4 linked regions of the Anolis sagrei genome follow. The protein of the gene in region 3 purifies or fractionates together with the protein of the main gene of each other region. This does not show direct contact. Links are inferred from orthologs where the notes say so. Each region holds a gene or a part of one and is shown on either strand. Other genes may lie near its edges.

Region 1 (7,809 bases), on a different chromosome or scaffold from region 3:
TGTCTACAGGTGTCACATGCAACTCCTGGAACGATTCCATCAGCGCTGCCTCCAGAAAATCCTGCAAATCTTGGGAAGACAGGCAGACAAATGTCAGCGTGCTGGAAGAAGCAAAGACCACCAGCATTGAAGCGATGGTCCTCCACCATCAACTCCGCTGGACCGACCACGTTGTCTGGATGCCCGACCACCGTCTCCCAAAGCAATTGCTCTACTCCGAACTCAAGAATGGAAAATGGAATGTTGGAGGGCAGGAAAAGAGATTGAAAGATGGGCTCAAAGCCAACCTCAAAAACTCTGGCATAGACACTGAGAACTAGGAAGCCCTGTCCCTTGAGCGCTCCAGCTGGAGGTCAGCTGTGACCAGCAGTGCTATAGAATTTGAAGAGGCACGAATGGAGGGCGAAAGAGAGAAATGTGCCAAGAGGAAGGTGCATCAAGCCAACCCCTACCAGGACCACCTTCCACCTGGAAACCAATGCCTTCACTGTAGGAGAAGATGTAGATCAAGAATAGGGTTCCACAGTCACCTATGGAGTCACCTTGGAGGACCATCATCCTCAGACAACGAGGGATCACCTAAGTAAGTAAGTAAGTACCCTATTGCCTAGAATCAGGTTATGTGTCCTTCATGGTTTGCTATAAAGGCATTCTTGGTTGATCCTGTAGGAGTGCCGCAGGGTTCCGTCCTGGGCCCGGTCCTGTTCAACATCTTTATTAATGATGATGGATTAGAAGGCACGATCATCAAGTTTGCAGACAGGACCAAATTGGGAGGGAGAGCCAATACTCCAGAGGATAGGAGCAGGATTCAAAACGATCTTCACAGATTAGAGAGATGATTGGCCAAAACTAACAAAATGAAGTTCAACAGTGAGAAATGCAAGATACTCCACTTAGGCAGAAGAAACAAAATGCAAAGAGACAGAATGGGGACAATGCCTGGCTCGAGAACAGTATGTGTGACAAAGATCTTGGAGTCCTCATTGACGACAAGTTAAACATGAACCAACAATGTGATGCGGCATCAAAAAAAAGTCAATGGGATTTTGACCTGCATCAACAGGAGTTTAGTGTCTAGATCCAGGGAAGTCATGCTCCCCATGCTCTATTCTGCCTTGGTTAGATCATTCCTGGAATATTGTGTCCAATTCTGGGCACCACAATTGAAGGGAGATGTTGACAAGCTGGAATGTGAGGTCTGAGGATGCTTGCCATAGATGCAGGAGAGAATGCTTCTAGAACATGGCCATACAGCCTGCAAAACCTACAACAACCCGATAATTCCAGCCATGAAAGCCTTCGACAATTCAATGTAATGTTCGTTTGTGGGATTAACATAACTCAAAAACCATTGGACAAATTGCTGCCAAATTTGGCCTCAAGACACCTACTAACCCAAGGAGTGAACATCACTCAAAAATTAATTTTGTCAGTAGTAGTTGCTGGGATTTATAGTTAACCTACAATCAAAGAGCATTCTGAACTCCACCAAGGATGGAATTGAACCAAACGTGGCACGCAGGACTCCCATGACCGACAGAAAACACTAGAAGGGTTTGGTGGGAATTGACCTTGAGTTTGGAATTGTAGTTCACCAACATCCAGAGAGCACTGTGGACTCAAACAATGATCTGGACCAAACTTGGCATGAATATTCTATATGCCCAAATGTGAACATAGATGGAGTTTGGGGGAAATAGACCTTGACATTTGGGCATTGTCGTTACAGAGATTTATAGTTCAACTACAATCAAAGAGCATTCTGAACCCCACTAATGGTAGAATTGGGGCAAACTTCCCACACAGAATCCCCATGTCCAACAGAAAATACTGAGTTTTCTGATGGTTTTGGTGACCCCTCTGACACCCCTTTATGACCTCTGCAGGGGTCCTGACCCCCAGGCTGAGAAATGCTGCCTTAAGGCCATCCAATCCAACCCCCTTCACCAGAACAAGAAAACATAATTGAAGCCTTCCTGACAAACAGCCATAGAGATAGATAGATAGATAGATAGATAGATAGATAGGTAGGATTCAGACACACACAGATATCATATCATGGATTTGAAAGAGACCCCTAAAGAAGGACAATTATATGTTGCATGTTCCTAGGTAGACAAACCAGACAAACAGCAAGTAATACTGTTTACCCACAAGCATAAAGAAATTACATATATTAGAAACCAACACTTTCTCATTACTTTATTTTCCAGATCAGCAGACTGGGCCACAGCAATGCCTGGCAGGGGACAGCTAGTTTTATATAAGAGTGGCCACTTTGCTATGCCAATGTATATAATGGTACTGCCCATCCATTGTTTTTGGAATCTATGCCACTTTAGTCACCTTGGAATGAGGAGCGGCTTAAGGAGCTGGGCATGTTTAGCCTGAAGAAGAGAAGGCTGAGATGAGGTATGATAGCCATGTATAAATATGTGAGAGGAAGCCACAGGGAGGAGGAGGGAGCAAGCTTCATTTCTGCTTCCCTGGAGACTAGGACGCAATGGGACAATGGCTTCAAACTACAAGAAAGGAGATTCCATCTGAACATGAGGAAGAACTTCCTGACTGTGAGAGCCGTTCAGCAGTGGAACTCACTGCCCTGGAGTGTGGTGCAGGCTCCTTCTTTGGAAGCTTTTAAACAGAGGCTGGATGGCCATCTGTCAGGGGTGATTTGGATGCAATATTCCTGCTTCTTGGCAGAATGGGGTTGGACTGGATGGCCCATGAGGTCTCTTCCAACTCTTTGATTCTATGATTCTATGAATGCTATGGAATCATGAGAGTTGTGGTTCGACAAGGTCTTTTCTGCCAAAGAGTGCTGGTGCCCCAGCAAACTGCAACTCCCAAGTTTCCATAGCATGGAGCCATGCCTGTTAAAGTGTAATCATTATAGTTTTGGAAGGTCTTTAACCTTCTCTGTCAAACAGTGCTGGTGCTTCACCAAAACTGCAACTCCCAGGAAACCATAGCATTGCCTTTTGGAACAACCTAAAGTAGAAAGGAGATCACATTTTGGCCAAAACGAAATGCATTACCTATATATGCAGGCGTCTGACTGGTCCATGCAAAGCGTCTGGAAAGAATTTTCCGTTCTTCTCCCCTCCCTTAGACGTCACCAAAGAACTGTTGGGACAAAAAGGAAAAAATTGTATATTTTAGACATTTGGACTCCTGTTGAGTCACCATTTCCAATTCCCCACCCAGTCCAGGTATCTGGCGGGTCCCATATCATTGCAACACTGGATCTGCTATGGCAGTGGTTCTCAGCCTTCCTAATGCCACAACCCCTGAATTCCATTCCTTATGTTGTGCTGACCCCTGACCAGAAAATGATTTTCATTGCTACGTCATAATTTTGCTCCGGTTATGAATCGTAATGTACACATCTGATGTACAGGATGTATTTTCATTCACTGGACCAAACTTGGCACAAATACCCGATATGCCCAAATTTCAACACTGGTGGGGTTGGGGGAGGATTGATTTTGTCATTTGGGAGTTGTAGTTGCTGGGATTTATAGTTGACCTACAACAATGGAATTGAACTCCACCAATGATGGAATTGAACCAAACTTGGCACACAGAACTCCCATGACCAATAGAAAATACTGGAAGGGTTTGGTGGGCATTGACCTTGAGTTTGGGAGTTGTAGTGTGTAAGTTTTCTGTAAACCTACATCCAGGGAGAACAATGATGGGACTGGACCAAACTTGGCACGAATACTTAATATACCCAAATGTGAATATTGCCAGAGTTGGGGGAAAATAGACCTTGATATTTGGGAGTTGTAGTTGCTGGGATTGATAGTTCACCTACAACGATGGAATTGAACTCCACCAATGACGGAATTGAACCAAACTTGGCACATAGAACTCCCATGACCAATAGAAAATACTGGAAGGATTTGGTGGGCATTGACTTTGAGTTTGGGAGTTGTAGTGTATAAGTTTTATGTAAACCTACATCCAGGGAGAACTCAAACAATGATGGAACTGCACCAAACTTGGCATGAATACTCAATATACCCAAATGTGAATACTGCTGGAGTTTAAGGAAAATAGACCTTGATATTTGGTAGTTGTAGTTGCTGGGATTAATAGTTTACCTACAATCAAAGAGCATTCTGAACCACACCAATGATAGAATTGTGCCAAATTTCCCACACAGAATCCCCATGACCAACGGAAAGTATTGTGTTTTCTGATGGTCTTTGGTGACCCCTCTAACACCCCCTCATGACCTCCCCAGGGGTCCCGAACCCCAGGTTGAGAAACACTGTTGTAGAGAAACATGTACCGAAACTAACAAAAATCATTACTTATTATCTTGGTATTTAGGTATAACAGAAACTTATTATGGATTCAACATCGCTATTTATTTATGGTGTCAGGGGCAACCAGACCATTGTATTACATTTCGAACAGAACAAAACAAACAGGTTAAAAAAAAACCACAAAGTTTGCAAACTTGGTAGTTGAGTAAATGTCCTTTGACCAGTATCTGGTCACTTGGAGTGCCTCTGGTGTTGCCGCAAGAAGGTCCTCCCTTGTGCATGTGGCAGGGCTCAGGTTGCATTGCAGCAGGTGGTCAGTGGTTTGCTCTTCTCCACACTCGCATGCCGAGGATTCAACTTTGTAGCCCCATTTCTTAAGACTGGCTCTGCATCTCATGGTGCCAGAGAGCAGTCTGTTCAGCGCCTTCCAAGTCGCCCAGTCTTCTGTGTGCCCAGGGGGAAGTCTATCATTTGGTATCAGCCATTGATTGAGGTTCTGGGTTTGAGCCTGCCACTTTTGGACTCTCGCTTACTGGGGTGTTCTAGTGAGTGTCTCTGTAGATCTTAGAAAACTATTTCTTGATTTAAGTCGTTGGCGTGCTGGCTGATACTCAAACAAGGGATGGGCTGGAGATGTCTCTGCCTTGGCCCATTCACTATTGGCTGCTACTTCCCGGCGGATGTCAGGTGGTGCAATACTGGCTAGACAGTGTAATTTCTCCAGTGGTGTGGGGCGCAGACACCCCGTAATAATGCGGCATGTCTCATTAAGAGCCACATCCACTGTTTTAGCGTGGTGAGATGTGTTCCACACTGGGCATGCATACTCAGCAGCAGAGTAGCATAGCACAAGGACAGATGTCTTCACTGTGTCTGGTTGTGATCCCCAGGTTGTGCCAGTCAGCTTTCGTATGATATTGTTTCTAGTGCAGTGCTATGAGTGTTGGATGATGACTATGGAGACTGTAGTTCCAATCTCCACTCCGCCATGACACCTACTAAGTGACCATGGGAAAGTCACATTCTCTCAGCCTCAAATGAAGCAAAGGAATACTATCTCTGAACAAATCCTGCCAGGAAACCCCCTGATAGGGTCATCATGGATTGGAAACAACTCAGTGTCATGGGAGTTGAAGTTTTACAAGTCTTTTCTGACCAAAAGTCCTGGTACCTTAGCAAACTACAAATCCTGGGATTTCATAGCATTGAACCATGACACTTAAAATCAAACTGCGTTAATTCTAAAGCGTAAATGCACCCTAGAACTAGAATCCCTTTGGTTACTCCTAACAAGAGTTAAACCCATTAAATCCAATATCAAATAGTGAGTCAACACATAGTTTAGGTATAGTGTATCATTGGGATTTAGGTCTACATGTTTATATAACCCTGCCAATTCCAGGTAACTCTTCCCTGGACATTAAAAGCCATCCAAATGTGTTTTGGCAAAGCACGCTGTGGTTAACACTGCTGATTCCAGAAGTATATTTAGATCTCGCTATACAATGAATTACAGAAAAGAGGCCACTGGCTCGCAGGAGAGCTGTAACAACATTTCCTTCCTTTAGAAAAGAACAGAGTCCCTGCGTGAAGCAGAGTCGGAAATGGTGCCACAGAGTGAGCGAGTTCCACAACTTGCAAAACTGCGTTTCCCAACAGGGCAAGTGACCCATGTTGGCCATTAGAAAACAAAATGGAAGATTGCAAATCTATGTTGTGTTGATACTTATACTTGGACTGGGAGGGTTGGAAGGGTCCCCAAGGGCCATCCAGTCCAACCTCCTTTACACAACCCAACAGATGCCTCTGCAACATCATTTCCAAAATCTCCATAGAAGGAGACTCCACTGCAGGAGTGAATTCAACAAGCGACCAGCCTTTAACATCACGAAGTTCTTCCTAATGTTTAGGTGGAAGCTCTTTTCTAGTACTTTGACTCTATTATTCCATTGTGTCCGAGAATCATGCGTAGAATCACAGGGCTAGGCAAAACTACGGTGAGGTGGATCTATAACTGGTTAAATGAACGAACCCAGAGACTGCTCACCAATGCTTACTCTTCATCTTGGAAAGAAGTGACAAGTGGAGTGCCCGGTCCTGTTCAACATCTTTATTAATGACTTCGATGAAGGGTTAGAAGGCAGGATCATCAAGTTTGCAGATGACAGCAAATTGGGAGGGAGAGCCAATATTCCAGAGGACAGGAGCAGGATTCAAAATGATCTTGACAGATTAGAGAGATGATGGGCCAAAGCTAACAAAATGAAGTTCAATGGGGACAAATGCAAGATACTCCACTTTGGCAGGAAAAATGAAATGCAAAGACACAGAATGGGGGACGATGCCTGGCTCGAGAGCAGTACGTGTGGAAAAGATCTTGGCGTCCTCGTGGACAACAAGTTAGACATGAGCCAGCAATGTGATGTGGTGGCAAAAGAAGCCAATGGGATTTTGGCCTGCATCAATAGGAGCATAGTGTCTAGATCCAGGAAAGTCATGCTCCCCATGCTCTATTCTGCCTTGGTTAGACCACACCTGGAATATTGTGTCCAATTCTGGGCACCACAATTCAAGAGACATATTGACAAGCTGGAATGTGACCAGAGGAGGGTGACTCAAATGATCAAGAGTCTGGAGAACAAGCCCTATGAGGAGCGGCTTAAGGAGCTGGGCATGTTTAGCCTGAAGAAGAGAAGGCTGAGACATGATAGCCATGTATAAGTATGTGAGAGGAAGTCATAGGGAGGAGGGAGAAAGCTTGTTTTTTGCTGTCCTGGAGACTAGGACGCAATGGAACAATGGCTTCAAACTACAAGAAAGGAGATTCCATCTGAACATGAGGAAGAACTTCCTGACTGTGAGAGCTGTTCAGCAGTGGAACTCTCTGCCTTGAAGTGTGGTGGAAGCTTTTAAACAGAGGTTGGCTGGCCATCCATCGAGGGTCCTTTGAATGCAATATTCCTGCTTCTTGGCAGAATGGGGTTGGACTGGATGGCCCAGGAGGTCTCTTCCAACTCTAGGACTCTATGATTTTATATGTTGATAAGGCAACAGCAAGCTTTGGCCCTTGGGTGCATCTCCAGGTGTTTTGGACTCCAACTCCCACCGACTGTTAGGAATTGTGGGAGCTGAAGTCCAAAACACCAGGAGGGCCAAAGTTTGCCTAGGCCTGATCTACATTATAGAAGTAATGCAGTTTGACCCATAATAACTGCCACCTATCAGTACTTATGGTATCAAAGGCTTTGTTGTTTGATGACACAACCACACTCTTTGGCAGAGAAGGCTTTTTATTTATTCACAGTACTTTTATTCTGTGCTTCTCACCCTGAAGGAGACTCAGGGCGGATCACAGAACCCATATACAGCAAATATTCAGTGCCAATTATACAATGAGAAGGCAGATAGAGGTATAGTTAGGCTTTTTCTCATCATTCGGCATCTTTTGGAGGCTGTGCTTAGTTCCAGCCACAAGGGGTGCTGTTGCTCCATCTCCTTGCCAAAGAGCTTTCTTTGTTTGTAAACTTTT
Region 2 (7,644 bases), on a different chromosome or scaffold from region 3:
AAAATATACAATAATATAATCGTATTGTTATATATTATTACATATTAGCCGTCCCCTGCCACGTGTTGCTGTGGCCCAGTCTGTGTATATGTGTTTTGTGAGTGTATGCATTGTGTGTGTGTATATTTGCGCATGCGTTGAAATGTATTTTTGTTTTTTGGCTTTTAAATTCTCTTCCGCTGTGTTTTTCAGTGTTTTTATTAGTGATGGTCACTCACTGGCCTGATGGGTGCATTGTGTTCAAATTTGGTGTCAATTCATCCAGTGGTTTATGAGTTATGTTAATCCCACAAATGAACATTACATTTGTATTTATATAGATTATCGGTAGTATCATATTTAATATATTATTTATTTATTTGCATTATTTATATGCTGCCCTTCACACCCCGAAGGGGACTCAGAGTGGCTTTCAAGATACACACACACATACACACACACAATACATTATACCATGAGCACAGTACAATTTATTTATTATTTATTTCGTATACTTCTACCCCGCCCTTCTCAACCCCCGAGGGGGGACTCAGGCGGCTTACAAAAAGGCACAATTTGATGCCTACACAATAATACAATAAACATATAAAAACAGCAATTAAACAGTTATAACAATTAAAACAATCAATATATATCACAGTCAATAAATCAATCTCATGGTCAGCGTTTGCCAACTCAGAGTCCATACTACATTCTACATTGTCTATTCCTGTCTGTCGTCGTAGTCCTTTTTTTTATCTGCCAGATTGCCCAAACGCCTGGTCCCAAATCCATGTTTTTACTTTCCTTCTAAAGGAAAGGAGGGATGTCGCTGATCTAATTTCCCCGGGGAGTGAATTCCATAGGTGAGGGGCCACCACTGAGAAGGCCCTGCTCCTCGTCCCCGCCAATCTCAGCCAATCTCAGTGCTATATATCACTTTATTGTACTATACAATTATATTGCAACATTATTAGTAATATTACATTTAATATAAAATATATATCACATTATAATTAAATTAGTATTACTACATTACAATATTATTATATATTATTGTATTTCTATTATATTGTATTATAATATTATCAATATTATTATATAATATATTAAAGTATCAGAATAGAACAATATAAGCATTATACTGCGCCCGTACCTTGGGAAGTCTGACTTGGCCACGGTAGTCCATGCTCTGGTTACATCCCGTTTAGACTACTGCAACGCTCTCTACGTGGGGTTGCCTTTGAAGACAGCTCGGAAGCTCCAACTAGTCCAATGCTCGGCAGCCATGATTTTAACAGGAGCGGAGCGCAGGGAGCATACAACCCCCCTGTTGCGCCAACTGGCTACCGATCTGCTACCGGGCTGAATTCAAAGTGCTGGCGTTGGCCTTTAAAGCCCTAAACGGTTCCGGCCCAAGCTACCTATCTGACCGCATCTCTGCCTATGAACCCACCAGGACTTTGAGATCTTCCGGGGAGACCCTGCTCTCGATCCCGCCTGCTTCTCAAGCTCGGCTGGCGGGGACGAGAGATAGGGCCTTCTCGGTGGTGGCTCCTCGGCTGTGGAACGCCCTTCCTACGGACATTAGACTAGCACCATCTCTAATGGTATTCCGCAAAAAGGTGAAGACCTGGATGTTTGTGCAGGCGTTTGAGTAATTTAGTGCAATCTGGTAATGGAACATAGGAATGGAACAATGGACGACGAACCTGGACTACGCTTGGATGATGAGAAGATTGGGTACGGTTGTTTTTTTGTAATAATTGTGCATTGTAATTGCTTATTGGTAATTTATGGATAATGTGTTAAGTCAATTGTTATATGTTGTATGGAACCACTGCTGTTTCTACTGTTTTTACTGTTTGTGAACAGCTGTGAGTCGCCTTCGGGCTTGAGATACAGCGGTATATAAGCAAAATAAATAAATAAATAAATAAATAATATACATTATTATATTGTACTATACCACCGGTGGCGCAGTGGGTTAAAGCCCTGTGCTGGCAGGACTGAAGACCGACAGGTTGCAGGTTCGAATCCGGGGAGAGGCGGATGAGCTCCCTCTATCAGCTCCAGCTCCCCATGCGGGGACATGAGAGAAGCCTCCCGAAAGTATGATAAAAACATCAATCATCCAGGCGTCCCCTGGGCAACGTCCTTGCAGACGGCCAATTCTCTCACACCAGGAGTGACTTGCAGTCACTCCTGACCTGACAAAAAAAAATTACCATTCCTTATAAATTGTATATCCTTTCTACATATTCCCCTCATGAAGACTATCCACACTCCAGATACATTAGGATGTAAGCCTAGGTTTTGCAAAAATGACAACCATTTCCCCCCCTTTTTGGCTTCTCCTTTTATTTTATTTATTATTTATTTTAAATTTTATTTATTATTATTTATTTTAAATTTTTATTTATTTTATTATTTATTGTTTTCCCAAATGGGCCAATGGGAAGGAACTGGGCCTTCCTTTCTGGCTTCTCCTTTTATTTTATTTATTATTTATTTTAAATTTTATTCATTTTATTATTTTAAATTTTATTTATTTTATTATTTATTGTTTTCACAAATGGGCCAATGGGAAGGAACTGGGCCTTCCTTTTTGGCTTCTCCTTTTATTTTATTTATTATTTATTTTAAATTTTATTTATTTTATTATTTTAAATTTTTATTTATTTTATTATTTATTGTTTTCCCAAATGGGCCAATGGGAAGGAACTGGGCCTTCCTTTTTGGCTTCTCCTTTTATTTTATTTATTATTTATTTTAAATTTTATTTATTTTATTATTTTAAATTTTTATTTATTTTATTATTTATTGTTTTCCCAAATGGGCCAATGGGAAGGGACTGGGCCTTCTTCTCTGTATCCCTTCCTAGCCTGGACTCATCCCCAATATCCCCCCATTCTGGGTATTGAGGATGGAAGAGCCAAAGGGAGGGGAAAGGGGAGGAGTCTCTGAGCGCTGGCCCCGCCCACTGCTCCTGGCCCCGCCCCCGCTGGGAGTCGGGTCACGTGACGGCTCCCCCTCACGGCGCCCCCCCTCCCACCGCCTTCTCCCGCTCCCCTTTTTACCTCAGCGCGGTTCGAAACCGGATTAAATCACCATCTCCTCCGGGAACGGGAAGCGGGGTAAAAGCCGCCGAGGCCCATGACGGAGCCCCCCGAGCCGGCGAAGGGCTACCACAGGCGAGACGAACGGGAGCCCCGACCCTCACGCCTGACAGGAGCGCTACTGAGGAGAAGAGGAGTCGGCACCCGTCCCCACAGACAAGCCCCGCCCCTTTCGCCCCGCTGCCCAATCAGGCCTCGCGCTGCTTCCCAATCAAGGCATCTCATAGGTGAGGAATCAGTGTCAATCGAAAAAAAAAGGGGGAGGAAACGTCATCTGTCAATCACGGCTCAGCTCTAGTCCAATCCAGTGAAGGGAAAACGCCGGGGGGGTGGGACGGACTCCGGGGAGGCAGCCAATCAGCGTTCGAAAAAGGGGTTCTCATCCAAAAGGTTCTATTCTGGGACTCTTTAACCAGCCAGCAGCGCGGAGGGAGACCTCAGTGGTGTATCATGAGGAGAAAGGCAGAAATACGCCTGAGGGACGAACAACACCTGACAGAACCTTCCGCAGGGAAGATATAAAAGGCGGAGATGGGCCTGAGACAGAGTTTGGAGGCATCGCAGTCAGGACTGGGCCAGTTTGGGCCCTCCAGCTGTTTTGGACTGCAACTCCCACAATTCCTATTATTATTACTGAGGCCTACTCACACTTTGTGTGAGTATATTTGTGTATATCTATATATATATGTGTGTTTGTGATCGGACATTCAGGCAACGTGGACAGTCCAGTGGAGTTGATGGCAGGCTGACACTGAGGCATTCTCATACTGAGGCCTACTAACACTGAGGCCTTTCTCCCACTGAGGCCTTCTCATACTATGGCCTACTAACACTGAGGCCTACCTCACACTGAGGCCTTCTCATACTATGGCCTACTAACACTGAGGCCTTTCTCCCACTGAGGCCTTCTCATACTATGGCCTACTAACACTGAGGCCTACCTCACACTGAGGCCTTTTTCCCAGTGAGGCGAACTAACACTGAGGCCTTCTCATACTGAGGCCTACCTCACACTGAGGCCTTTCTCCCAGTGAAGCAAACTAACACTGAGGCCTTCTCATACTGAGGCCTTTCTCCTAGTGAGGCAAACTAACACTGAGGCCTTCTCATACTGAGGCCTACCTCACACTGAGGCCTTTCTCCCACTGAGGCGAACTAACACTGAGGCCTTCTCATACTGAGGCCTTCTCATACTGAGGCCTACCTCACACTGAGGCCTTTCTCCCAGTGAAGCAAACTAACACTGAGGCCTTCTCATACTGAGGCCTACCTCACACTGAGGCCTTTCTCCTAGTGAGGCAAACTAACACTGAGGCCTTCTCATACAGAGGCCTACCTCACACTGAAGCCTTTCTCCCACTGAGGCAAACTAACACTAGAGCCTTCTCATACAGAGGTCTACCTCACACTGAGGCCTTTCTCCGACTGAGGCCTTCTCATACTATGGCCTACTAACACTGAGGCCTACCTCACACTGAGGCCTTTCTCCCACTGAGGCGAACTAACACTGGAGCCTTCTCATACTGAGGCCTACCTCACACTGAGGCCTTTCTCCCAGTGAAGCAAACTAACACTGGAGCCTTCTCATACTGAGGCCTACCTCACACTGAGGCCTTCTCATACTATGGCCTACTAACACTGAGGCCTACCTCACACTGAGGCCTTCTCATACTATGGCCTACTAACACTGAGGCCTACCTCACACTGAGGCCTTTCTCCCAGTGAGGCGAACTAACACTGAGGCCTTCTCATACTGAGGCCTACCTCACACTGAGGCCTTTCTCCCAATGAAGCAAACTAACACTGAGGCCTTCTCATACTGAGGCCTTTCTCCTAGTGAGGCAAACTAACACTGAGGCCTTCTCATACTGAGGCCTACCTCACACTGAGGCCTTTCTCCCACTGAGGCGAACTAACACTGAGGCCTTCTCATACTGAGGCCTACCTCACACTGAGGCCTTTCTCCTAGTGAGGCAAACTAACACTGAGGCCTTCTCATACAGAGGCCTACCTCACACTGAAGCCTTTCTCACACTGAGGCAAACTAACACTAGAGCCTTCTCATACAGAGGTCTACCTCACACTGAGGCCTTTCTCCCACTGAGGCCTTCTCATACTATGGCCTACTAACACTGAGGCCTACCTCACACTGAGGCCTTTCTCCCACTGAGGCGAACTAACACTGGAGCCTTCTCATACTGAGGCCTACCTCACACTGAGGCCTTTCTCCCAGTGAAGCAAACTAACACTGGAGCCTTCTCATACTGAGGCCTACCTCACACTGAGGCCTTTCTCCCACTGAGGCGAACTAACACTAGAGCCTTCTCATACTGAGGCCTACCTCACACTGAAGCCTTTCTCCCACTGAGGCAAACTAACACTGGAGCCTTCTCATACAGAGGTCCACCTCACACTGAGGCCTTCTCATACAGAGGCCTACTAGCACACTGAGGCCCTTCTCCCACAGAGACCTCTCCCAGACTGAGGGCTACTAAGCTTCAGGCACACCTGCCTATATTAAACTGCAGCTTCTGCTGAGTCATTACATCCATTTAACTCTTTCAGTGCTTTTTGTAATTAAAAATGCCTAGTTAATATTTAATATTTCTGACATACACTCCCCTGAAAGTGTGTGTTCGCAGCTTGGCATTCTCCTGGTTCTTCTCTCCAATGTCAGCCCTGGTAGAAGCGACAATGGCCAGGAGTGTTTACTCCCAGCTTCAGCTGATACGACCTCAAAGTGGACAATTCGACTAGTGGTCACCCAGCAGTCTCTCATCCCAATAAAAGACAATGAAGAACGACCCAGGCAGGAAGAGTCTTGTGAATGCGTATCACCATTTATTATTGTTCAAGAATCAGGAACTGAACAGAGGACGCTGTCAGTGGAAAAAGAAAAGAAAAGAAAGGAAAAAAAACGGATTTTCTTTTCAGGCTTAATTATTATTATCATTTTAAAACACGGTGGTTTCAAATCCTTTGTTTTAAAAACGAAATTCAAGTATCGTTAAAGCAGGGGGCAGTCGGTCATACAAAAATGTTTCCGTCTTTTTTTTTTTGTATAGAGTTTCTATTTATTTATTTTTCTTTAAAAAAAGCAAGTCTACGTATTATTATTTATTATTTTTTTATTCTATTTTTTATTTTATTTTTTTCTGCACCCTTTTTTTTGCTTTGGTAAGGCCAAGCCATGGATACAAAACGTGGTACACGCAACGTAAAAATGCATCCCCTGCCCTTTTGGATTGGTAGGCGCCGAGAAGAAGAAAAATGACTCTGGACCCTTATCAGGATCTCTGGCTTTAAGAGGATCTTATATTTATATATATATATGTATAGCTCCCTGTCTCCATATATATACCTTTTTGAAGCCCTGGGATTCCGCAGATGTTTTGAGTACATTTCAAGGCTTTGACGAGAAAAGAAAAGTCCACCCAAAATGTGAATCTCAGAAAGAGGCAAAAGAGGGACAACTCGAAATCCCGTCCGCCCAAAACAAAAACGGAGAGGCGTTTGCTATCGCGAGCCACTCTTCTCAAGTACGGCCTACCAAATAAAAAATAAATGAATATGCTTAATAGAAAAATATGATATCTCCCTCCCTCCCCGAAATCCCCCCTTGTTGCAGGCACACTCATCTGTTCAAGATTATGTTCTCTTGGGGTCAGAGAAGGGCTCGTAGTTTTGTAATCGCGGGAAGGTTTTCTTCATATTGGGAAAAGAAAAGGAGGAGGTGCGAAAGGTGAACGGGGGAGAAAAGAGGCGGTGCAAAAGGGGAATGGAGAAAAGAAGCAGTATGAAAAAGGAACAGGGAGAAACGCAGTACGAAAGGGAAACGGGGAAGAAAAGAGGCGGTGCGAAAGAGGAACGGGGAGAAAAGAAGCGGTACGAAAGAGGAACGGGTGAGAAAAGAAGCGGTTCGAAAGGGGAACGGCGGAGAAAAGAGGCGGTATGAAAGGGGAACAGAGGAGAAAAGAGGTGGCGCAGAAGAGGAATGGAGAGAAAAGAAGCAGTACGAAAGAGTAACGGGAAGAAAAGAGGCGGTATGAAAGGGGAACAGCGGAGAAAAGAGGTGGTACAAAAGGGGAACGGAGGAGAAAAGAGGTGGCGCAGAAGAGGAATGGAGAGAAAAAAGGCGGTACGAAAGAGTAACGGGGAGAAAAGAGGTGATATGAAAGGGAAACGGGGGAGGAAAGAGGCGGTACGAAAGGGGAACAAGGGAGAAAAAGAGGAGGTGCAAAAAGGGAACGGGGGAGAAAACAAAGGGCTGGGGACGGCTTTAGCAGCAAAAATGTTCCGAGTTTTCAATCACAATCAAATTAACGGAGATATTAAACAGGGGGAACGGGTGGGACAGGACACAACAAGGGTTCGCTGCCCTGATCCGTAGAGGCCTTTCGCTAAAATGAAAAAGAAGAAAGAAAGATTTCCGCCGGACAAACCCCAACGTTAGGAGACACCGGAGGAGTTTGCTTCCAAACAACTTCCTAAAACTTAGCCCCGCCCCCCACAATGGGTTTGGGGTTTTTTTATCACTTAAATATAT
Region 3 (8,103 bases):
CCCAGGGCAATGGCGGAAAGGAAGGGAACTATGCACAGGCCATGGGGAGCTCCTTCTGGGTCACACAGAGGCCCTTGGGAGCCCAGGCTGGAGGCCTCCCTATTCCGGCAGAAGAGCCTCCCCAGTCAGCTTTCACAATGACTTTTCATTGCATTCTATGTGACATTATTATTATTATTATTATTATTATTGTCATCATCATTATCATCATCATTATGAAGCATGATATGCCCTGCCTCAAGCCAAAAGAAGAGGTGACTAATAAATAGAGGTCACGGGTATTTTAGTAAGTGTATTTATTGCATTGATCGTTTGTAGTAAATTTTATTGATTAGCCCTCAGGTCATATCACAAAGGCATTGATAGTTGCATTTTAACTATGTTTAAACAGGTAATTGTATAGAGAGGTGTGTGTGACTGAGTTGTGCCCTGCTGCCTCAAGTCGAGGTGAGTAATAATATTAGTAATAATTTATTATGCTTTTCAGCCTTGAGCTAAAAGAGAGGCACGCAGTTAACGATCATCATTATCATCATCAGATTCATACAGTTGGAAGGAACTTAAAGGTCACCCAGTCCAACCCCTTTCTGCCAGGAAGAATTACTATATTATTATTCTCAGACTCAGTTGGGACTTTTAAAGGCCACCCAGTCCAACCACTTTTCTGCCAAATAGGAATATATTATTATCAGTATTACTACTACTACTACTACTACTATTAGACAGAATCACAAGTTGGAAGGGACTTCTAAAGGCCACCCACTCCAACCCCCTTCTGCCAACCAGGTAGAATTCCTGTATTTTTATTACCGAATACGATTTTCCTGCTTCTTTGCAGAGGGTTGGGCTGGATGGCCCACAGGGTCTCTTCCACTCTATAATTCTATTATTATTATTATTATCATCATCATCATCATCAGACTCAGAGTTGGGACTTCTAAAGGCCATCCAGTCCAAGCCTCCTTCTACCAGGAAGGAATATAGAATTACTATATCATCATCATCATCATCAGGCAGACTCAGTTAGGACTTCTAAAGGCCACCTAGCTCAACTCCCTTCTGCCAAACAGAACTATAGAACTACCATATTATTATTATTATTATTATTATTATTATTATGCAATTATTACTATCAGACTCAGAGTTTGAATTTCTAAAGGCCACCCAGTCCATCCCTCCTTCTACTAGGAAGGAAGGTAGAAATACTATATTATTATTATTATTATTATTATTATTATTATTATTATTATTTACTGACACCAAAATACAGCATTCACAGCGAACGAGATCTATATGCTGGATTTCGTATCACAAAATCAGAAGTCAAACACTTCCCAAGTGTCTAGGACTGTGTGATGTATTGAATGATTAATGCAGATCCAAGTAAGGAGGCCTTATTATTATTATTATTATTATTATTATTATTATTATTATTAGGCAGACTCAAGAGTTGAAGTCTTAAGGCCACCCAGTCCAACCCCTCTTCTGCCAAACAGGAAAATAGAATTACTATATTATTATTTGTATTATTCAATTGTTATTAGCAGACTCTGAGTTAGGACTTCTAAAGGCCACCCAGTCCAACCCTCTTCTGCCAAACAGAAGGACAGATTTGCTATTATATTATTAGTATTATTATTTGAAAAACAACAAGATAAGTCCACAGCAGACACTCTGCTGGCTGTTGAATTGGATCACACGTCGGATACTTCCCAAGTGTCTAGGACTGTGTGATGTATCAGTGAATAATGCGTGCAGATCCCAGTAAGGTGGCCTTCTGCAGCTGGCAGATGGTAATTTTGTCAGCACCGATTGTGTTTAAGTGCAGGCCAAGGTCTTTAGGCACTGCACCCAGTGTGCCGATCACCACTGGGACCAGCTTTACTGGCTTGAATTATTATTATTATGCAGTTATTATTATCAGACTCAAAATTGGGATGTCTAAAGGCCACCCAATTCCACCCCCTTCTACCAAACAGGTAGAATTACTATTTTCATCATCAGACTCATATAGTTGGAAGGGACTTCTAAAGGCCAACCGGTCCAACCCCTCTTCTGCCAAGCAGGTAGAATCACCATATTATTATCATCAGATTTAAATGGAAGGGACTTCTAAAAGCCACCCAATCCAACCCCTCTTCTGGCATTGTTATTATTACCATCATCATCAAACTCAAGAGTTGGGACTTTTACAGGCCACCCAGTCCAACCTCTCTTCTGGCATTATTATTACCATTACTATCATCATCATCACCATCAGACTCAGAGTTGGAACTTCTACTTCTACAGGCCACCCAGTCCAACTCCCCTTTCTGCCAGGAAGGAAGAGAGAATTACTATATTATTAATATCTATTATTACCTCCTACTGGAGTAATAAATGAATACTATTCTTATTATGATGAAACCTATTTTGCTGCACCTCAAGGCGGGCAATAAGATATTATATCAGGCATGGGCACATTTGGGCCCTCCAGGTGTTTCCCGAGGGGGGAAAGGAAGGGGCCTGAGGCTGTTAGGAATTGTGGGAGTTGGTCCAAAACACCTGGAGGGCTCAAGTTTGCCCAGGCCTGCATTACATGATTATTAATTATGGCACCTCTTTGGCCCCTTCTGCATGAGATATATTTGGGGGGGGGGGGGTGATGAGGGAGAGTTGTGGGCGGGGCCAGGACCTTGGGAAAACCTTTGGGAAATGGCCGAGGGGGGAAAGAGAGGTGGGCGGGGCCAAAGCAGACCCTCCCTCCCTTGCAGGCCAAGATGGAGATATTGGGGGTGGAGGGGTGGGGTTTCTAATATGATCTGATCCCCTGTCTCCTTAGCTTTGGACCCCCCCAAAAAAGGGAACACAAAGGAGGGGAGACCAGGGAAGGGCGTGGCTTGGGAGGGAGGTGGTCCCTAAGCCACGCCCACCCTTCCCTCCCTCCCTTTGGAGCTTTTGTCCCTGGCTGTTCCTCCCTTTGGTCCCCCAACTGCGCCCCCCTCCGCGCTCTTCCTCTCTCCCTCTCTTTAGACTGTCCGCCATTTTGTCCCTCCCGGCTCCTCATTTCCTTCCTTCTCCTCTCTCGGCTTCCCTCCCTCCTTCCTTTCCTTCCTTCCTTCCGCCATTTTGTCTCCCTCCTCCTTCGCGCTGTTCCCGCTCCCGCCGCTCAACCTCCACCTTTACCTCGCCTCAGGGCCTAGGCCTCATTTTGAGCCTGCCTCAATTTCTTCCCTCCCCCCACCCGCCCTTCCGGGCCCCGTCCTCACCGTCATAACGTTCGGCCTGCTCGGCCAGCTTGGCCTGGTAGACGAGGTCCTCCCGGTCGTCCATGTCCGCGGGGCGAGGAGGGCGGCGGGGGCTGCGCGGGGGCGGATGGAGACCGATGGTCCGGCGGCGGGGGCTCAGCCACGATCCGCGCTCGCTGCTCCGCTCTGGGCAAAGATGGCGGCCGCGGCGCCTCCTCCTCCTCCTCCCGCTCACATCCGGGCACCGCCAAACAAGCCGGGAGGGGGAGCGCGCATGCGCAAAGTGAGGCCGCGCCCAGGCAGGCCCCATGGCAACCGCGGCTCCCTCCCTTGGCAACTGCTGGCCCCTCCATTGGCCCGCCCGAAGAGAGTGGCACTCACATCCCACCACATTGCATTCGGGTTGGGTTTAGTTTTGAAGCATTGAGAGCCAAGTCCGCTCTCCCTGTGGCCCTTCAGGCTTTGGGACTCAGTTTCCCAGAATTACTGGCCATTACACAAGCTAGCTGAGGCTTCTGGGAAATTGAGTCCCAATCTCCCAGAGGGCTAAAAGGCCTCTTCCTCTCTTGTGGCCCTCTAGACTTTGGGACTCCACTTCCCAGAATTCCTGGCTATTGGATAAGCTGGCTAAAGCTTCTGGAAAATTGAGTCCCAAACTCCCAAAGGGCTTGGGAAGTCTGACTTGGCCACGGTAGTCCACGCTCTGGTTATATCCCGTTTAGACTACTGCAACGCTCTCTACGTGGGGTTGCCTTTGAAGACAGCTCGGAAGCTCCAACTAGTCCAACGCTCGGCAGCCATGATTTTAACAGGAGCGGAGCGCAGGGAGCATACAACCCCCCTGTTGCGCCAACTCCACTAGCTACCGATCTGCTACCGGGCTCAATTCAAAGTGCTGGCGTTGGCCTTTAAAGCCCTAAACGGTTCCGGCCCAAGCTACCTATCCGACCGCATCTCTGCCTATGAACCCACCAGGACTTTGAGATCTTCCGGGGAGGCCCTGCTCTCGATCCCGCCTGCTTCTCAAGCACGGCTGGCGGGGGCGAGAGATAGGGCCTTCTCAGTGGTGGCTCCTCGGCGTTGGAACGCCCTTCCTACAGACATTAGACTAGCACCATCTCTAATGGTATTCCGCAAAAAAGTGAAGACCTGGCTGTTTGAGCAGGCGTTCGAATAATTAGTGCAATGATTGGTTAATGAACACTGGAATGGAACAATGGATGACGAATCTGGAACATGTTTTTGATGATGAGACGACAGTGAATGGGTATTGTAGTAACTTTATTAATTGTGTAATGTGTTAGGTTAACTGTTTTTATACTGTAGCACTGAATTTTTGCTGTTCGTATTTGTTGTGAACTGCTGTGAGTCGCCTTCGGGCTGAGAACAGCGGTATATAAGGAAGGTAAATAAATAAATGGCCTCGTCACTCTTGTGGCTCTCTAGGCTTTGGGACTCCACTTCCCAGAATTCCTGGCCATTGGATAAGCTGGCTGAGGCTTCTGGGAAATTGAGTCCCAAACTCCCAAAGGGTTAAAAGGCCTCTTTACTCTTGTGGCCCTCTAGGCTTTGGGACTCCATTTCCCAGAATTCCTCGCCATTGGACTAGATGGCTGAAGCTTTGAAATTGAATCCTAAACCCTCAGACAGCTAAAGGGATGCCTCTTCAACTTTGTGGCCATTCAGGCATTTGGGTCTCAATTTCCCAGAATTCCTAGTGATTGGATAAGCTGGCTGAGACTTCTGGGAAATTGAGTCCCAAACCTCAAAGGGCTAAAAGGCCTTTTCGACCTTGTGGCCCTCTTTTGAATCCCTTTATTTATTAATTATTTATTTACTGCATTTATATGCTGCCCTTCTCACCCCAAAGGGGACTCAGAACGGCTTACAAGATATATATATACATACAATATATTATATTATTAGCATAGTACAATATCAGTATTATGTATTACTATATTTTACTATACCATTATATTGTAATATTATTAGTAATATTACATGTAATACAAAATATATAATTATATTAGTAGTAATATTATATTTTATTATATTTATTTGGGGAGAAAGGTGGTGTAGAAATAAAATTATATTAATTAATTAATAATATATAATAATTATATATTTTGGCCTAATAATATATTAGTATTATATTGTATTATATATATTTGAGGAGAAAGGTGGTGTAGAAATAAAATTATATTAATTAATAATAATAATAATAATTGTAAACCTCTTTGAGTCCCTATGGAGCGAAAGGCAGGGTAGAAACACAATTATTATTATTAATAGTCATAATGTTATTACAAGCCTCCTTGAGTTACTATGGGAGGAAACGCAAGGTAGAAATAAAATTTTTGTCATTGTCGTCGTCATTGTAAATCTCCTCGATGCTCTATGGGGAGAAAGGATTGGCTTTAGCACAGGTTAATCACTAGCTGCAGTAAATCTTGCCAACCAAAAGGTTGACAGTTCGAAGCTGGGTGAGGGTGAGCTCCTGACCTTCAGCCCAGCTCCCCGTCCACCTAGCCTTCCCACAGAAATTAGATTCCTGTTCACATTTTGGAGGAAAGTGAAGACCTGGTTGTTTGAGCAGGCATTTGAATAGGCAGTGTAACTAATATAGAAATATGGAACATTTGGATGATGAGATTGGATCTTGATTTTAACTATGAGATGAGATGTTATGATGGTTATTGATTGTTATAATGTTATTCTTTTAACTGTTTTTATCATGTTTAAGTATTGTATTTGCTTTGTTAACCGCTCTGAGTCGCCCTGAGGGTTGAGAAGAGCGGTATACAAATATAGTAAATAAATAAATAAATAAACATGAGTAGAGGGATTGGAACTGCATTAAGCGGTGATGTAAAATACATTGACATTGGCGTTTCAGAGGAAAATTTACAAAGAAAGCAAGGACATAGAGCAACAGCACCACCCTGTGGCCAGAACTGAACACAGCCTTCAAAGATACCGAATGATGAGAAAAAAGCCTATATATACCCCTATCTGTTGTCTGTCTTGTCATTGCCTAATCGGCATTGAATGGACTGAGTCCATTGTCGAGTCTCCTTCGGGGTGAGAAAGGCATTATATAAGTACTGTAAATAAAGGTAGAGTGGAAATACACTTGTTATGCTGACAATGATGAGTCTCCCTGAGTCGTTATGGGCAGAAAAGGAGGGTGGAAATAAATAATGTTACTGTAAGGAAAGACGGAAAACATTTGGATTCCAAAAGGGTTGGCCTTGGGTCAGGATGAGATGGTGGACGGGAGAGAAAAAGTATCTCCATGAAACCCGTATTGCCCACTCCTGAGATATAATCCTAGAGCTGGAAGAGACCCTCAAGAGCCATCCAGTCCAACCCTCTGCCATGCAAGAAGGCACAGTAAAAGCACTCCTAATAGATAGCCTCTGTGGAAAAGCCTCCAGAGAATCTTTTCAGTCGAATCTCTTTATTTGCCATTTGAACCCATTGCTCCCTTGTGCCCTGGTCTCTAGAGCAGCACAAAGTCAGTTTTCCCCCTCTTCCTCCTCAATGGGACAACCTTTGAAATCTTGAAACATGGCTCTCATGTTCTCTCTTTACCTTCTCTTCTCCCAGCTAAACATCTCCCAGGAGAAAAGGAGGAAGGGAAAAAAAGGAAGAGAAGGATGGAAGGAAGGGAAGGAGGGAGGGAAGGGAGGAGGAAAGAGAGAAGGAAGGAAAGACAAAAGAAAAGGAATGAAGGAGAAATAGAGAGGGAAGAAGGAAGGAAAGAGGGAAGGATGAAAGGTTGGAAGGGGAGAGAGCAAGAGAGGGAGGGAAGGAAGGAGAGAAGGAAGGAAGGAAAAGATGGAAGGGTGGAAGGGAATGGAGGGAGAGAGAAAAGAAAGGAAAGAAAAGAGAAGGAAGGGAGGGAAGGAGGGAGGGAGAAAGGGTGGGAAGGGAGAAAGACGACAAGACACAAGGGGAGAAAGGAAGGAAGAGAAGGATGGAAAGAAGGAAGTGTGGAGGGAGGGAAGAAAGGAAAGACGAAAGAGAAGGGAGGAAGGAGCGAAGAACGGAAGGATGAAAGAATGGGAACGTGGGAGGAAGAAGGAAGTAAAGACAAAAGGAAGAAAGGGAGGGGGAGAGAAGGAGGGAAAGAAAGAAGTATGTAAGGAAATGGAGGAAAGAAAGAAGAAAGGAAAGACAAAAGAGAAGGGAGGAAGGAACGAGGGAAGGAAGGATGAAAGAATGGGAGGAAAGGAGGGAGAAAGAGGGCAGGAAGGAAGAAGGAAGGAAAGACAAAAGGGGAGGAAGAGAAGGATGGAAAGAAAGAAGTGTGGAAGGGAATGGAGGGAGGAGGGAGGAAAAAGAAAGGAAAGACAAAAGAGAAGGGAGGAAGAGAGAGAGAGAGGGAAGGAGGGAGGAAAGGGAAGGAAGGATGAAAGGGTTGAAGGGAGGGAAGGAGGAAGGAAAGAGAGAAGGAAGGAAGAAAGGAAGGAAGGAAGAAAGGAAGGAAGGATAGGATGGTGAAAGAAGGCCTGAGAAAAGAGCCTTCTCAAGTCCCTATGGGGAAAAAAGTGGTGTGGAAATAAAATTATGATTATTATTGTCATTAATTATAATAATGCTAATAATTTTATTGTAAGCCTTCTTGAGTCCCTATGGGGAAAAACCAGGGTTGAAATAAATTATTATAATAGTTTCAATTCCTTAGCTTCCCTAACAAAACATCCCCTTGTGGTGCTCAAACCCATTCTTTGCCATTCCAGGAAGGGAAGGAGGGAACTGGGGATGAATTTAATTCTATTTTAAGTTGTATTGATTTTGGGTTGTTGTGTGTTTTCTGGGCTGTCTGGCCATGTTCCAGAAGCATTCTCTCCTGATTTTTTGTCTGCATCTA
Region 4 (8,094 bases), on a different chromosome or scaffold from region 3:
GTCATTCCCACACATTAAAGTAAGGCTGTTTGATATTATTTTTGAGAGTGTGAATGCTCCTCGGTGCTCGGTGCATAACTAGCGAGGAGGGAAGATGCAAGCTAGAAAAGACCAGAGGACCCCACATTTCTTAACACTGCATTAAAACATCCCACTAAGCCAATGGTTCTCAACCTGTGGGTCCCCAGATGTGGGCCTTCAATTCCCAGAAATCACAACAGCTGGTAAACTGGCTGGGATTTCTGGGAGTTGTAGGCCGAACACCTGGGGACCCACAAGTTGAGAACCACTGCACTATGTAACAGGGCATCGAAGCAACCACAACAGAATATTAACAACTCAATCCTACACACATGAAGTTGGTGCTACTCTACCGAAAGGGACCTAACTCCATCAAGATGATGTTCAGGATTAAGACTAATCCTTAAGTCTGGGTTTAGTGTGAGCAAGGACTCAGCTGAAGGGCCTCTGCTAAATATTCCTCAGCCACAAAACCTGATACTCCGGTTACAAGAAAAGAAGTAGGGAAACTTTTAACACAGGTCCAACTCCTTTTTGTTTGACTAAAGCCTCACAACAGTTCCTGTGTAGCCTTTTAAAAAGGTGACCACCACAAAGGAGGAAGAGAGATCCAGTTGCCCCTCCATATCCCTGGAATAAAATTATGAGAACGTGCCTTCGCACATACACAGAGATGTTATTCCTCGCCAAGTCACTCTTCCATCCTTTTGTATGAGCTGCTGTGGGCTTCCAAGTAAGTGTGAGCCTGAGGCCAGCCACTCCCTTCAAAAATAATAATAGTAATAATTACCAGTTACAGAAAATACCACAGGCTTGCAATGGAGAGAAAAAAAAAACCTCTTACAGTATTGCTGGTCTTAATATATGTTTGGATTCTGAATTGGAAAAATGCAATGAAAATATCTTACTACACACAGTTCTGCTGTTAGGATATGGCTATTCTCTCAGTTTCATACCAGCAGAAAAAAATCTGTTCCTGGTTTGAAAGTGCTGTTTCCTGTTTAATCGTGTTGCGCTTAGTTTGAAAGTAGTTGTTATAATCCAGAAACTTTGTTTTGTGGATGCCACAAACTATGTCGAATTGATTGAGACAGTATGAGATATTAATTGAAAAAACAATAGCAAAATGTGCTGTAAGATGTCCCGCAAAAAGAGTTTTTGCAATTTAATAAACTGTTTCCCCATGTATTGTCGAAGGCTTTCATGGCCGGAATCACTGGTTTGTTATGAGTATTCTGGGCTGTATGGCCATGTTTCAGAAGCATTCTCTCCTGACATTTCACCTGCATTTTTGGCAGGCATCCTCAGAGGTTGTGAGGTTTGTAGGAAAATTGGGTTTATATCTATATATATATCTGTGGAATGTCCAGGGTAGGAGAAAGAACTCTTTTCTGTTTGAGGTATTTGTGAATGTTTCAATTGGCCACCTTGATTAGCATTTAATGGCCTAGCAGTTTCAAGGCCTGGCTTCTTACTGCCTGAGGGAATCCTTTGTTGGGAGGTGATTAGCTGGCCCTGATTGTTTCTTGTCTGGAATTCCTCTGTTTCTGAGTGTTTTCCCCATGTGTTTGGAGACATGATAGCCATGTATAAATATGTGAGAGGAAGTCATAGGGAGGAGGGAGCAAGTTTGTTTTCTGCTGCCCTGGAGACTAGGACACAGAACAATGGCTTGAAACTACAGGAAAGGAGATTCCATCTTAACATTTGGAAGAACTTCCTGACTGTGAGAGCCGTTCAGCAGTGGAACTCTCTGCCCCGGAGTGTGGTGGAGGCTCCTTCTTTGGAAGCTTTTAAACAGAGGATGGATGGCCATCTGTCGGGGGTGCTTTGAATTTGATTTTCCTGCTTCTCAGCAGGGGGTTGGCCTGGAAGGCCCATGAGGTCTCTTCCAACTCTAGGATTCTATGATTCTATGGTAGAACCAATTAGGAAATGACATTTATAACCCAGGAACAACAATTGTGTTATATAGTGTAATTCCTTCCTTACTCTAAAAACTCTTAAAATTGTAACAGTAAATAAAAAACAAAACTCAAACATGGGGGAACTCCAGACAAAAAACAGTTAGGAACAACTAATCACCTCTCAACAAAGGATTCCCTCATGCAAGAACAAGCCACACACACACAAAAACTCCCAGGCCATTAAATGCTTATCAATCGAAACAGTCACATCTACCTCCATCAGGCAAGAGTTCTTTCTCCCACCCTGGACTTTTCACAGATATATAAACCCAATTCTCCTAGTTTCCAACAGATCACAACCTCTGAGGATGCCTGCCATAGATGCAGGTGAAACATCAGGAGAGAATGCTTCTGGAACATGGCAATACAGCCTGAAAAACCTACAACAACCCATCCTTCCTTACTGTTTACTCTGAGGGTGCATCTGCAACTAAGGGATGGCTGCAGTGTGGCCCTACTTTGGGTACCATTCTCTCAATACTATGGAGGGAGTTGCAGTTCTGCAAGGTCTGGAGCCTTCTCTGCCAAAGAGGGCTGCATTCCAAATTCCCAAATGCTCCAGCCTAGAGCCATGGCACTTTGAGAGGGGCCAAACTGTATCCCTAAAAAGAGACAGCAACACAATACAAGCTGTGGAGAGAGAACAGGATGCAGTGGGGCAACCCTGAGTAAGACAAATCCCAGATTGTAGTCTAGCCCTCAATCTTGCAGGCCAGGGAGTTGTGGCGTCTCCTCCTCCTCGTCCTCCTCTCTTACCTCGACCCACCGCCTGGCTTCAGCAAAGGCCCCCTCACAGGAGCCGGCACCTTCGGGGTCCTCTCTGGCCTCCATGGCTGGCAGGAGAAGAGCAAGGCAAGGACAGAAAGCTGGGGAGACAGAAAAGGCGACGGGAAAACCTTGGCTGAGAGAGAGAGAGGCAGGCACCCTCCGGCTTCAAGGAGCCTTTGGAAAGGAGGGAAAGAGGTGTGTGCCTTTCCCGTTAGTCTGAAGGGAAGCGGCACTCAAGCCAAGCCAAGCCAAGCCAAGGCTTTCTCTGCAAGGAGCGCCCACCCGACTGTCCCAACTGCACCTCTTCCTCCCTTTGAGGCGCTCCAAACTTGACCCTGCTTCCCTGGCCGCCGTCCGCACCCTACCCTACCCTACCCTTCCCTTCCCGCTACAAACGCCTACCTTCCGCCACCGCTCCTACCTCCGACTGGCTCCCGGTCCAAAGCCCCGGCGCTGCCTCTTGCAAACTTTCTTAAACTTTCCCGGGAGGCCGGCTCGCCGCCACCACCTGGCGGCACGAAGGGGAATTGCCGCGCAGGTTAGGAAAGGGAGCCCTTCGTGTCTTCCCCCTAAATATGGCAAAAAGGCAAGCCTTCCTTTTTGCCATGTTGTATAAGGCATGACGTTTTACTACCCCACTGTATATCATGGAAACCCCAATCCCATAGATGTTGATATCCACAAAAGGCCTGGAAACAAACCCTTTCAAGTTCATTCCTGGCAGTCCCCAAGTTACGAACAAGGTGGGTTCTTCAATTGCATTTGTATGTAAGTCGGAACAGGTACTTTTTAAATGTAACTCCAGCCATACACACGCACGTGCACAAGTTGAGGAAAAAGTGTATGTGTGTGTGCATGGGTAGATAGATAGATATGGCTGGAGTTACATTTAAAAAGTACCTGTTCTGAAATGTGTGTGTGTGTGCTATATATATATATATATATATATATATATATATAATTAGGGCTGTCCAACCACAGAAAAATTTGTTTCTAAACTCGATTCGTTTTTAGGCGGTTTTTGCGTTTCGTTATTTAAAAGAATTCCGAAATTTTTCTTTAAAAAAGTTCGATATTTACGAAATTTCGGAAATTACGAAACAATTTTGAAACAATAACGAATCGATTCGTTAATGGCGGACGCGGTTGCGCAATACACTAAAAAACCCTCCAAATGGGACAGGGGGAACTTCTGAAGCTTCCCTCTCCCTCTGTTGTTGACTCTTGGTGTGATAATTTATTTTTTTATCACTGATAAAACAAACAACAACTATAAAACTTGCACCAGACATACGGAAATAATAACAAAACAATTACGAAACAATTACGAAATAAATTTTAAAAATTCGTTTCAATTTTAAGTTGCTCCTGAATGGTTCAATATCGCTTCGTTATAAAAAAAATAACGAATTAATAACGAATTACGAAATTAACGAACGAAACCGCCCAGCCCTAATATATATATACACATACATACATACATACACACACACACACACATATATATACACTCTCTCTTTTTAAATGTAACTGCAGCCATATATATACACATAGATAGATAGATACATACATACGTGCACACACATTTAAATGTAACTCCAGCCACATATATATATATACACACACCTTTTAAGTATAGCCATATATATATATATATATACACACACACACATACATACACACTCTCTCTCACATTCTTCTCTTTTTAAGTGTAACTCCAGCCATATATATGCACATACACACACACACTTTTTAAGTGTAGCCAAGTGTATACACACACACACCCTCTCTCTCTTTCTCTTTTTAAGTGTAACTCCAGCCATATATATATATATATATATATATATACACACACACACACACATACACACACACACACACTTTTTAGCCATATATATATATACACACACACTTTTTAAGTGTAGTCATGTATGTATATGTATATATACACACACACATATACATATGTACATGCACACACACTTTTTCATGTTGTCATGTTGTAATTTAATTTTTGTGATTTTCTGTTGAAATTTTTATGGTTATTGTCTTTGGATATTAGCACTGCATGTTTGTCTTTGTTTCTTAGAAACTGCCCTGAGGCCTCACAGGGAGATATGGCGGGATATAAATAAAGTTTTATTATTATTATTAAATGTAGCTCCAGCCATATATATATTTATATACACACATACACACGCGCGCACACTTTTTAAGTGTAACTCCAGCCAGCCACACACACACACTCACACACATATTTTAAAGTGTAACTCCAGCCACACACATGGCTGGAGTTACATTTTTAAAAGTAAGTGTGTATGTGTGTGTGTAGAGGGGGGGGGGGGAGAGAGAACTTTGGATATCATAAGGAAGGGAGTGATTTTCCCTTTCTAGAGACAGATTTCTCTCACTTCTTGTTTTCTCATTCCTGTTCCTCACTATGTAAGTTGAGTCGGATGTTTGTAGTTTGGGGACTGCCTGTATATACAATGGCATAGTAAAATATTGTCCCATGTTTAAAGGTTTGCTTTGGGGATTTTTAACCTATATTCAAGCTGTGGATGATTGAATCCATTGTTACAGAATCTGCTGATATGGACGGCTGTCTGTATAAGGAGAAATGTTTGCTGGATAACTCCAAGACCTGGAGATGGCCTCAAATCTCCATCATTATGTCAACAGGTTTTTTTTAAAAAAAAATCCTTGTAATCAGTAAATGACTTCTAGGGGCTGACAAACAATTTTCTGTCTTTATGAAAACCAGGCTTTGATATTTTTCTTTCTAGGCATCTGGCAACCATCTCAAATCTATTTTAATCCTATGACTATCTGCATCGGCAGTGAATTTCAGATAGTCACTTCCTTATTTTTCTCTCTCAAAATGCCTACACCTCTCTCCACATTTTTGGCATATCATTCCCTCTATACATCCTTTCCAGTCCTCAAATGGGGCATATAATAAGGACCGGCTACCAGTTCTCTGTGGGACATCAAATAAGGGGCATCCTTTATAATGTGGGTCACTTGGTGATCCTATATGTATCCAAAACGGCGCCCTCCCTTCCAGGGTTGGGCTGCATCCCAATGTCAGGTTCAAGGGAGCCTATAGTAGTTCCACCCTCACCCACGACATGGGAACCTCAATATATCTGCGGGTTATCTCATGCGCTCACCCAGTACCAAATGCTTGGGATAACACTCATATTTGTGGAAAAGGTCTTGAGGGAAGATTCCCCAGAAGGGTAATAATGACTGAACAGGTCCCAAGGGCTCAGAATGCTGACTGACTGGCTTGCAGTGAAGGCTATGAAACTGGGGCAGAGGGGGAAATGGGGGACCATTCATGGGTTGCTGTGAGTTTTCCAGGCTGTATGGCTATGTTCCAGAAGCATTATCTCCTGACGTTTCATCCACATCTATGACAGGCATCCTCAGAGGTTGTGAGATCCATTCATTTTGCGGGGAGAAACAATCCAATTGTAGTATTATGAGGAAAGGGGCAGTAGCTGTCTGAGAAAAACTCAAAGACCTTGAAATTAGGGTCCCACTGCTGGATGTTCGCCACCCTTACTCTTTAATAAACATCACTGGCACTCCAAGGATTGTCTTAACTCAGAGGCCTGCGGGCCAGATGTGGCCCTCCAAGGTCCTTTACCCAGCCCCTGCCCTAAACTTTACAATTAGGGCTATCCTAAATCTGAAACAACTTGATGCCACATAACAATAATAACTTGCAATGCCACATATTTACCAAATCACACAAAACACACTGGTCTCAATATGGATCACAAAACTACTAATATTATATATTAATGTGTTTGCTTAGTCCTATCATAAAGTCTAAAGATGAATACAGTAGTCTTGCTTATCCAACCTTCGTTCATCCAACATTCTGTTTTATCCAACACAGTCGACCTCCCATCCAGATCCACAGCTATTTCAATCCATTGCAATGTTTTGGTGCTAAATTCATATATACAGTAATTACTACGTAACGTTACCGTGCATTGAACTACTTTTTCTGTCGAGTTGTTGTAAAACATGATTTTTTTGGTGCTTAATTTGTAAAATCATAACACAATTTGACATTTAATAGGCTTTTCCTTAATCCTTCTTTATTATCCAGCATTTTCGCTTATCCAACGTTCTGCCGGCCCATTTATGTTAGATAAGCGAGACTCTACTGTATTACATAATATGGTCACTATAATACATTCAAGTATAAAGTGAGCAAGATCTTAGAAGCTCTGAATTATTTGTCCTAGAGACCATCAAGATGAGTTGACATATACCAACTCTGTGGAGAACTCCAGTGATCAACAACCATACTCAGGTCTTCATTATGACTTCCTACATTGAAATCAATCCATCTGGAATATGGTCTTTCTCTTTTTCTATTGCTTAAAATTTACGAAGCGCTGTCATGTTTTCCAGTAAGTCATGTCATCTCTTGATATCTACATGCTGCAAAAACTTTGTATATCGATATAATAAATGTATATTATATCTATTACTCTGTATCTTGAAATGTTATAGTAGTAGGATAGATGTTGTCCACCACAAAGTAGAGACAACAAAAGAAGTGCTACATATTGGTATGCACAGTTGTGTTTTGTGTATATACGACAGTCAATCTTTTGAAAAATATATAATGAACAAGGGTACCAGATTAAGGTGTGTTTGTGCCAAAATACAAGACCAAATGAAATGTAAATGATGTTAACCAAGTTTGAAATTTACAGTATTCTAGAAATACATTCATTTTGGGCATGTTTTAAAGGATTCAGATCTGCTGTAGGCAAAACCAAGGTGCCATGAAACATCTCAGGGATATTTTTTTTTCATTTAAATACTTCATATCTAGATGTAAATGGTGCCCACATATGATTTCAGAAGAGGGTACAAAGAGCATCACCCTCCACCCACACACAACTTTGATTTAGGCCTCTTCTACACTGCCATATAATCCAGATTATCAAAGCAGATAATTCACATTGCCTGCTTTGAATTGGATCATATGAGTCTACACTGCCATATAATCCAGTTCAAAGCAGATAATCCAAATTTTATATAGCAGTGTAGAAAGGGCCTTAGATCTCCTTATAGCATTTTCCTCTGATGTGCATTTTGAGGGAAAGAAAGCCTGGCTAGATTTTGTCCACAATATAGCATTTAATGCTTTCAATGATTAATTTAAAATCTAAATAAATGTGTGTACAGGGAAATATGTTATGCCTTCTATCAGACTGCTTTAAAGAACTTTTAAAAATTCTTTATGGATTCCACCAAATAGTGCCTTCAGCAAGACAGAGATGTTTATAAATGACTAGCATTAGAA

What was found.
Region 1: the proteins of YWHAE (region 3) and FRMD6 purify together in Homo sapiens (co-immunoprecipitation; 3 studies listed by BioGRID and IntAct, with this or other methods). This does not show direct contact. The link is inferred for Anolis sagrei from reciprocal best matches to the Homo sapiens genes YWHAE and FRMD6.
Region 2: the proteins of YWHAE (region 3) and KIF1B purify together in Homo sapiens (affinity purification with mass spectrometry; 3 studies listed by BioGRID and IntAct, with this or other methods). This does not show direct contact. The link is inferred for Anolis sagrei from reciprocal best matches to the Homo sapiens genes YWHAE and KIF1B.
Region 4: the proteins of YWHAE (region 3) and LMO7 purify together in Homo sapiens (affinity purification with mass spectrometry; 3 studies listed by BioGRID and IntAct, with this or other methods). This does not show direct contact. The link is inferred for Anolis sagrei from reciprocal best matches to the Homo sapiens genes YWHAE and LMO7.

The regions. Positions count from the first base shown.
Region 1 is NC_090021.1:338,285,843-338,293,651, reverse strand, and holds the start of FRMD6 (FERM domain-containing protein 6), read right to left. Parts: upstream 3,127-7,809; 5' UTR 3,042-3,126; intron 1-3,041.
Region 2 is NC_090033.1:6,018,429-6,026,072, reverse strand, and holds the start of KIF1B (kinesin-like protein KIF1B), read right to left. Parts: upstream 3,234-7,644; 5' UTR 3,060-3,233; intron 1-3,059. UniProt on the Homo sapiens protein: Has a plus-end-directed microtubule motor activity and functions as a motor for transport of vesicles and organelles along microtubules.
Region 3 is NC_090031.1:27,490,105-27,498,207, reverse strand, and holds the start of YWHAE (14-3-3 protein epsilon), read right to left. Parts: upstream 3,465-8,103; 5' UTR 3,313-3,464; coding exon 3,249-3,312; intron 1-3,248. UniProt on the Homo sapiens protein: Adapter protein implicated in the regulation of a large spectrum of both general and specialized signaling pathways. Binds to a large number of partners, usually by recognition of a phosphoserine or phosphothreonine motif.
Region 4 is NC_090023.1:128,539,601-128,547,694, forward strand, and holds the start of LMO7 (LIM domain only protein 7), read right to left. Parts: upstream 3,242-8,094; 5' UTR 3,159-3,241; intron 3,124-3,158; exon of another isoform or gene 3,058-3,123; intron 2,855-3,057; 5' UTR 2,820-2,854; coding exon 2,745-2,819; intron 1-2,744.